Linked DNA regions of Danio rerio. Each later gene encodes a partner of the first gene's protein in a complex. Links are inferred from orthologs where the notes say so. Each region holds a gene or a part of one and is shown on either strand. Other genes may lie near its edges.

Region 1 (4,378 bases):
TGCACAAACTGATTATCAATTAGCATTGCTTCCTAAGTGGGCAGTTTGATTAAACAGAAGTGTGGTTGACCTGGAGTTACATTGAGTTGTTTAAGTGTTCCCTTTATTTTGAGCAGTATATAAACTATGTCCTTGTACAAAAAGCTAAACAGATGCATTTTTTTTTATCTTAGAATTTAGGTTTCTTGTATGAAGATGATTACAGTTTGTGGTAGATGTAAAAAAAATAGAAATGTCTGGCTAACAGTTTACTGCATGCAGGTAAATTTGATAAAAAAAAAACTAATATTCCTTATGTAAAATTATGAAAATAAAGTAGCATTAGCAGAATAGTATCCTTTTTGGTTTTCCTTTTTCTAAAATTAGACAATACATCTAATAAAAGCACCAACAAGAAAGATAGAGTGATGAAATGCTGACATAAAAGAAAGAAAGAAGGAGAATTTCTAAAAATACCATAGATGTGCATGCATTAGAAAGCACATGTAGATATAATGGACAATGTGTTTCCTCTAGGATTTTTTCCAGCTGTGGCGGCAGGCCTTTTTTTTTTACAGGTATACCAAATACCAGTGATGTTTTTTTCAATGACAAATGTCGTGAGTGCAGTATTACAGGTCGAGATTGCATTTATGTAATAGCCTACAGCATGCAGATCTCTTTGCTTGCGCGCCGATTTCCTCTGCTCGTGCACAAAACCTCTTGTGCGATCTCAAATAAACGCTGCTGTGGTGCGATTGAGTGTGTTTATGTAACGAGTATGTCTCCAGCATTTATTAGATTTGCTACGAATATTTATGAATGTCTCTAATAGACCTACAGAGCGATATTAATGCGTTCTCAAGTAAAATGAAATGGCTATACGTCGTGTTTGCTGGCCTCACCATGCACCTGTCAGTCAGTCAGTCAGTCAGTCTGTCTGTCAACACGTAACCTTAACGGGGTAAACAAATAATGCACAGCATTACTACGGTTACAGAGAAGTTTGCACTCTTATAAATCAGTCATCTTTTAATACGTGTTGATGCGATTATTACCCGCTATTAAAAAAATTTAATGTTTTGAATGAGAAGCTGTACTGTAGCCGTGGCGGGATGAATTTTGTCATGACGCCCCACCATGGAAGAATGAATGTAGAGGAAACCATGGAACTGTACCTGACATTCCACGCAGTGGTAAAATCTGGATTCAACAGAAGCAATGTGCTGGTTATATCCACCAGAGCTTGAAAAGAAGAAGAAAGAAATATCAGGGATTTTTTTTTCTCCAATGATGCAAAGTATTTAATAAAATACCATACTAATAAATGCTATACCATGCAAGGTGTTCAAAAAAGCAAGCTAACCCAATAATCTTTCATCCTACCTTCCCGGTCGAGCCACTGCTTTCTCTGCCTGTAGAGCAGGAGTTTATTATGCACATAAGGCAGCAGAAACTTGACACACCAGCTCTCCACTCCCAGCTTATTCTCCACCAGGACGATGGGGCTTCTGTTGTACCGGGCTTCAGGACACGGAATGAGGCCAATTTCATCACTGTGAATTCAAGATAAAAAGATGCTGGCTATTTTTGGATATACTAAATACTAAGGAGCTGATGGCAAACAGGGATGCATAACATCTCAGCTGACACATAGTCGCTTTAGATGCACCTCTCTGGCATAAATACAAGGGTGCCATAAGAGAAGGAAGTAATTAAACCATTGGCACAAGACACTGACCTTTTAATATGAAACAAACAGACAAAACGAAGACAAAATTAACAACTACAATTGAAAACAGAACATCCTAAAAAATTTTTTGTAGTGGACTAGAAACATGCCAGACAGTATGGATTAACATTTGAAATAATCTACTATGAAAATGTGTGTATAGAATTGTGGAGTCTGAATCAAAAGTCAGATCTTTAAAAGTCATACATGAACACTTGCATTAAATCAGGTACCTTTGAAAGTGTTCACATTTATGCTAAAAAAGTGAAGTTGTCAAAATAAACAAATAAACAACACATGCTTAGCTTCATTACAAAACCTAAATTATGTGGTAAATGATTTTATGAAAACTATATTTCGTATTTGCTCATATACCTTTCATTTCAAAAGCAAAAGGGCATATCTAATCTAAAACAAGAATAAAATTTTCTTAATTTCATTTTTAATTTGTGCGGCAAATCAGAAGTCATAACTGGACAGCTCTGATATGAGAAATAAAATTGGTGGTTACATTAATATCCACAAACCTGTGTATCAGTTTCCCGATAATGCTCGTTGTAACGTTAGATGTTGACTTAAGTGATTTGTCTGGGTACATTAAGATGCAAGATGTTGCAACAACATATTAAATCACTCCATATAACGTCACCAGTACGTAAACATGGACAATTCTTGAGATTATGCAAATAAATATATAAGGTGAACGATTATCTAATTACTAACTTAACCAGAGAATAACACTGACAGTACTAGCTACAGCATGACAAACATGCACATACTTTGACGTTTCGGTGAGAAAAACTTTTGGCGTTCGCACGGAGATGTTAAACAACACAAGTTTCTCCAGGCACGGTGTAAATGCAGTGCTGAAGAGCTCTGGTCTACAGTCTGCTGCTGGCCTGCGCCAAGCGCCAGCGGGTTAGAGCTGGTTAATAGCCAGTTAGCCAGAGCCAATGCCTGCGCAAGTTACAGACAGACGGCTGCTGCTCTATGTTCTCCCGGCGACTTACAGCGAGGGTCTGGACGAGCTGTTTAGACTAAACTAGAACACTGCGCAATGAATAACAATGCGAGTTCATATACGTACATGTTCGGGTTTCTTTTAAAGGCGTTAGTGATATCTTTCACAACTCTCTGGACCAAGACATCCACCTCCTCTTCCGACTCAGCCATTTTCAGAGCTCGAGTGACGTCAGCGCGGGTGACTCAACCTCATCCGGGACATTTCACAGTAACCGTACCATAACCTGACCATAACGCGTTTAAGGGAAAATACAGGATTTCAACAAAAAAAATCAAATCGCTTCAAATGTGAAAACCATGTTGGACAGCGTTAATACAAGATATTAGTTGGATAATCTCCTATATAAATATGCAATCCTAAACAAAGCAAAGGAAATCAATTTGAAAATTTTAATAACACGTTAACCGGTCAATGCATTTACCTCAAATATTTACTGATATTGCAGATACTTGTTCTTTCTGTCGGGAAACTGAGGAAACTGTGACACACATGTAAAATCTCATATTCTACATAAATAATAAACCACAATAAACAAAACAACGCTTCAAATTGAAATAAATTAAATGTTATTATTCTAGTCTCAAAAATAAAAATGAGGAATATCAGAATTATTAGCCCCCCTGTTTTCCCCAATTTCTGTTTAACGGAGAGATTTTTTTCAACACATTTCTAAACATAATAGTTTTAAAAACTAATCCATAATAACTGATTTCGTTCATATTTGCCATGATGACAGTACATAATATTTTACTAGATATTTTTTAACACACTTCTATGCAGCTTAAATTGACATTTAGGTTTAACTAGGTTAATTAGGTTAACTAGGCAGGCTAGGGTAATCAGGCAAGTTATTGTATGACAATGGTTTGTTCTGTAGACTATCAGAAAAATAATATATAGCTTAAAGGGGCTAATGATTTTGACCTTAAAATGTAAAAAAAAAAAAAAAATACTGTGAAAATTTCCTTGCTCTGTTAAACATAATTTGGAAAATATAAAAAAAAAAAACACAAATTCTAATGGGGGCTAATAATAATAATAATAATAGTAATAATAATAATAATTTTTTTACTTTTTTTTTTTTTTTACTTTTTTATATATATATGAAATTCTTTATTTACAAACAAAAACATCTTAAATCCTCTACCTCATTTGCTAATTTTTTAATTGAAATTGATTCCTTGCTTAAAGCTATGCATTTTTCTAACAACAAAAATTCTGCAAGTTAATGGAAACTTATGAATATGTAAGGCTTCCAGTAAGTTAGTCTCGGTTGCTTTCTGTTTTTATTCAATTTTGTACTTCCCCGTTCTTTATTTTGTTCTCTTTTTTTATTTTTTTATTTCTTATTTGGATACTTATTGTTCTTATCACCTTGTAACTGTAAGTTGTACCTTTCTCTTACAGATCACTTCCTAATTTACATTGTACATTTCTTCTTTTCTAAATAAAAGTAAAAAAAAAAAAAAAATACAGGTTATGTTTATTCATCATTAATTTTGTTTCTAATTCATTGTTGTAGTCAGAGTAAAGCAACACAGATGTAGGCTAATCTGATTGAGAATTATTTTATGATTTATTTACAAAACAATAAGCAATTCACAGACCTGTATTTCACTGAAAAAAATAAAATAAAATCTATG
Region 2 (4,070 bases), on another chromosome or scaffold:
TATTAGTCAATCAATGGTGTTAGACTAGAAACAGCTGAAAAGTTTTGTTTTTTAAAGTATTTTGTAAATAATGTTTAATATTGTGGGTAATGTTTTAAATGTTAACGTTGTAATTAATGTTTTAAAGCAATCATTCATTCATTTTCTTTTCAGCATAGTCCCTTTATTAATCCAGGGTTGCCCCAGTGGAATGAACCGCTAACTTATCCTGCACATTTTTTATGCAGCGGATGCCCTTCCAGCAAGTAATCTAAGTAAGGAATTAGTTATATCTTTGTTATAATAATGTTGTTGTGGTTTTTTTAAAACATAAATAAATTTAAAACTATTCTATGCTAGATTCATTACATAGACCAACAGGTTTTGTCTATAGACAGAATTTAAAATGCTTTCTTCCTAAAAACAAAAATGTTTTTTTATGCATTATAATATTCACTATTAATAACCATCATTTCAATAATCAACAATAAAGCTTTTGGTCATAATACTGCACATTCTGTATTTACTTCTTTTACATGTATAATTTAACTTCCCTTTCTAAAACCTTTTGTTTTTATTGGTAACAGATTAACAAGTTATTTGAAGTACTTGGTTTCATTCAAGTGTATTAAAGTGCTTTATTAAAAAGCTATAAAAACATGAAATCAGATAATTAACATGTAATTTTTTTTTTAATTGCCTATATACGGTTAACAAAATTATCTTTAAAATAATTCATGCTGACAAACATCGCTACTTAATAGAAAGGTTTATTTCTGGCACTGCAGGGCATCCCAAATATACCAAATAAGGGCACAACACAGCTCAAATATCTCACCTGACCAGCATGAGACTCTGAACCAGGCCTGCAACCAAACCCACCGTCAAAGTTCATACAGGACATCACAAACTCTACGGCCTTGTCTACGTTGATCACATCCAGTTTGCCCTACACAGAAATTTGTCTTGTTAGAAGCATAAAATCTAGAAAGATTCCAAGAAACATTATTAAAAGGTATTGAGATGAAATATTTGGAAATAAAGTAATTCATACCAGTAGTGCTAAAGTTGCAACTGCACAAAAGGAAAAACGTGTATCTATTTCACCTATTAAAGAATAGAAAAGGAAAAAAAATCACTAATAATTAGGGCATGACATTGAAATAAAACTGGCTTTGCAATATTTTGAAGTTCTGCGATATAAATAGAAGTTAACAAGATAACTCTATAAGAAAAGAACTCATAATTTTACATTGATTGTAATGATTTTGTAGGGGAGTGAATCTGCATTAAAAATAATAAACAAATTCAAAGCATAAATTACTCAAATAAAACAAAGATACAAATGAAATAAACTGATTTATGATTTTCTGGAGAGTCTACACTCTCAGAAAAAAGGTGCACGTTGGTATAAATAATGTTCCTTGAGGAACAGTTTTGTACCTTTGTAAAAATTGTACTTTATACGGTACAGAAAAGACATTTTATGATGCAACTCCTTTTTTTATTACAATACATATAAAAATAAATATTACTGAAAAGGCAAAGTAATTTTATGAATAATTTCCATATTAAAACATAAATCACCATTTTTAAAAATATGTTTAAAGAAGGTGCAGCACAATGGCATAATGGGTAGCACAACTGCTTCACAGCAACAAAGTTGCCGGCTGCTTGGGTCAGTTGGCACTTCTGTGTGGAGTTTGCATGTTCTCCCTGTGTTTGCGTGGGTTTCCTCCGGATGCTCCAGTTTCCCCCACAAGTCCAAAGACAGGGTACAGGTGAATTGGGTAAGCTAGAATTGTCAGTAAAACATATATTCTGCAATGTGACTTTCACATTTGCACATAACGATGTTGAAATAATATATTTTGCAGCCTTACTAAAATTATAACTTTTTTTTTCACACAAAGACTGATTAAAAAACTATTTAAATACCCCATTTGTCCCCTGCAAACGAGCCATCCTCTTGCTGCAGTCCTTTAACATATTCCACCACTTTATCCACATCAATGGCATTAACACTATCATACAAGGACAGAATCTAAAGAGAAAAAAACATGTTTTATTTTCAATGGATGGATTTTCTACAGTCATTTATCAAATATGATTGTTGGTTGTCCTTCGGGTTTAGCAGTTTTCCCACTCACCTGTATAGCACTTAAAGTGTAAAGGAGATGAGGGTCATGACCGATGCTTGCGCTGATGCCTCCGCAGTCGTGCTGGCAGGATTTGATGAACTCTATAATCTCCTCTCGGTTCATTCGGGACAGTTGACCCATCAGGTCCATCACGGTAAGACCCCAGTAGATGCCACTCATTCTCAGATACTCTGACAGTGTGTACTCCTAGAGCAAAATAATTGGGAATTAATCAGCAATACATATTATTATTATTATTTATATATTTATTTTTTAAGCCATTAACTTACATAATCATCCTTCTTTGAACCATAAGCTGCAATATAGTCTGCATGCTTGTCTAGGAAGAGAGTGTTAGGAGCATCAGGCTTAATGGTCACGTCTTTCACCTGGGTCCCCTGTAAAACAACGTAGCTGCAATCAGTTTTAGACATTAAGCTCGAAAAATAAACCATTTGTTTTAGTCCAGACTAGTAAACTGCTGAAGTGACTGGGCGGTGACATGACAGCTTTATGCTGCTTTCTTTATTCTCATTTTAATGTGCGAAGCTCTTTTCTGTATTATCGCAGATAACCGAATGCTATTTCTATTAATTAAACAATTAAACGTTTACAAAACAGTATTGTGTTTACGTACCATTCTGCAGGAGAAACAAGAGACCGGACTACAGGCTGACTTCAGCCGTCACACATATATTACATCATCACACGCTCGTCATTTCTACGGGGGCCCGTAAGGTACACAACGCATTTAACTGGGACGGTAGTACACCGATGGTACAAGCGTTTATTTGTTGACGTCTGACACAAAGCATGACAAAATGTATAATTTCTTGAAGAAATATCATATTGTGGATATAAAGATTATATTGTGGAAAACTAGTTATGTTTGGTCCAAAATATTATTTAAGGCATTATTGCATGCATTTCACTAATAGTACATTTATTTATTTATTCACACAAATTTAATACAATAGTTACCTTGGAATAATCTGTTTGTCATTCCTTTTTAATAAATAATTCACACCAAAATGACAGTACTTTACTCATCTTTACTTGTTCCAAGCCCGTTAGACTGGTTTTGTTAAACACAAAAAGAAGAAGAATGTTGAAAACCTGTTACCATTGAATTTCATAGAATTAGTTTTCCATACTATGGATATCAGGCGATGCGGTGATGCAGTGGGTAGCATGATTGCCACACAGCAAGGTTGTCACTGGGTCGAGTCTCGGTTGAGTCAGTTGGCGTTTCTATGTGGAGTTTGCGTGTTCTCCTCATGTTAACGTGGGTTTCCTCCAGGTGCTTTTCTTCAGTATATCTTTTTTTTTGTTCAACAGAACAAAAAAAGGTTGGGAAAAAGTCAATGTTGAATAAATGACAGAATTGATTTTTTGGGGGTGAATTATATTAAAATCAAATACTTGATTTATATTTAAAATTGTTGGATTTTAATCCAGTTTTATGTTTTTCTTTCTTTCATATCAGTGAGTCTATTAAATGTGTCTATTGTGTTTTGAGCCCAATTTGAAATTCCCTGCTCCAAAAACATAGCTAGTATTCAAATCTTAAATATGTCTAAATAAAAAAGTTTCCCAAAACAATATTTTATAGCAAAATATTTGGAAAAAATACACAACATAATTTGCATTTTTTTTTAAACTAATACAAAAAGGGGCTACAGAATTTCAACCAAGACAGAATTTCAGGCAGGTTATTTATTTTTACTTTCAAAAGGACGTCATTTGTTACAAAAGGAATCTGAGGAAGAACGGTGTAACTATGTTACTTTGTTCAGCTTAACATTTGATCAACTTAGTTGTTCAACAAACATAAATATGGCAAGGCAAGCTGATATGACAAGGCAACCGGATCTCTCTGTAGGCAATTTACAATCTGCGAAACACAATCCTGAGATCTGTTGATCAACCATACAATCATGTAAAAAAGAT

Evidence for each region. The genes of interacting proteins can lie anywhere in the genome.
Region 2: the proteins of ptar1 (region 1) and rabggtb are in contact, whole or in part, in a crystal structure (PDB 6O60), measured with the Homo sapiens proteins. The link is inferred for Danio rerio from reciprocal best matches to the Homo sapiens genes PTAR1 and RABGGTB. Residues at the interface, in NP_001093136.1 of Homo sapiens: Val61, Lys62, Leu65, Pro66, His69, Leu73, Arg76, Leu97, Asn98, Asp100, Phe101, Thr102, Thr103, Asn106, Lys109, Glu110, Leu113, Ile141, Arg144, Trp145, Pro192, Ser193, Tyr195, Ser199, Ile202, Trp203, Gln206, Val231, Ser232, His234; in NP_004573.2 of Homo sapiens: Lys6, Asp36, Tyr37, Cys40, Met41, Glu43, Tyr44, Ile89, Gly90, His91, Asp92, Asp136, Trp138, Glu140, Phe177, Asp178, Gly182, Cys183, Arg184, Pro185, Gly186, Ser187, Glu188, Ser189, His190, Gln193, Trp217, Glu221, Arg222, Pro225.

The regions. Positions count from the first base shown.
Region 1 is NC_133180.1:56,713,449-56,717,826, reverse strand, and holds the start of ptar1 (protein prenyltransferase alpha subunit repeat-containing protein 1), read right to left. Parts: upstream 2,904-4,378; 5' UTR 2,885-2,903; coding exon 2,799-2,884; intron 1,536-2,798; coding exon 1,366-1,535; intron 1,225-1,365; coding exon 1,158-1,224; intron 1-1,157.
Region 2 is NC_133177.1:29,805,194-29,809,263, forward strand, and holds the start of rabggtb (geranylgeranyl transferase type-2 subunit beta), read right to left. Parts: upstream 2,819-4,070; 5' UTR 2,761-2,818; coding exon 2,758-2,760; intron 2,519-2,757; coding exon 2,411-2,518; intron 2,328-2,410; coding exon 2,130-2,327; intron 2,024-2,129; coding exon 1,918-2,023; intron 1,087-1,917; coding exon 1,034-1,086; intron 929-1,033; coding exon 818-928; intron 1-817. UniProt on the Homo sapiens protein: Catalyzes the transfer of a geranylgeranyl moiety from geranylgeranyl diphosphate to both cysteines of Rab proteins with the C-terminal sequence -XXCC, -XCXC and -CCXX, such as RAB1A, RAB3A, RAB5A and RAB7A.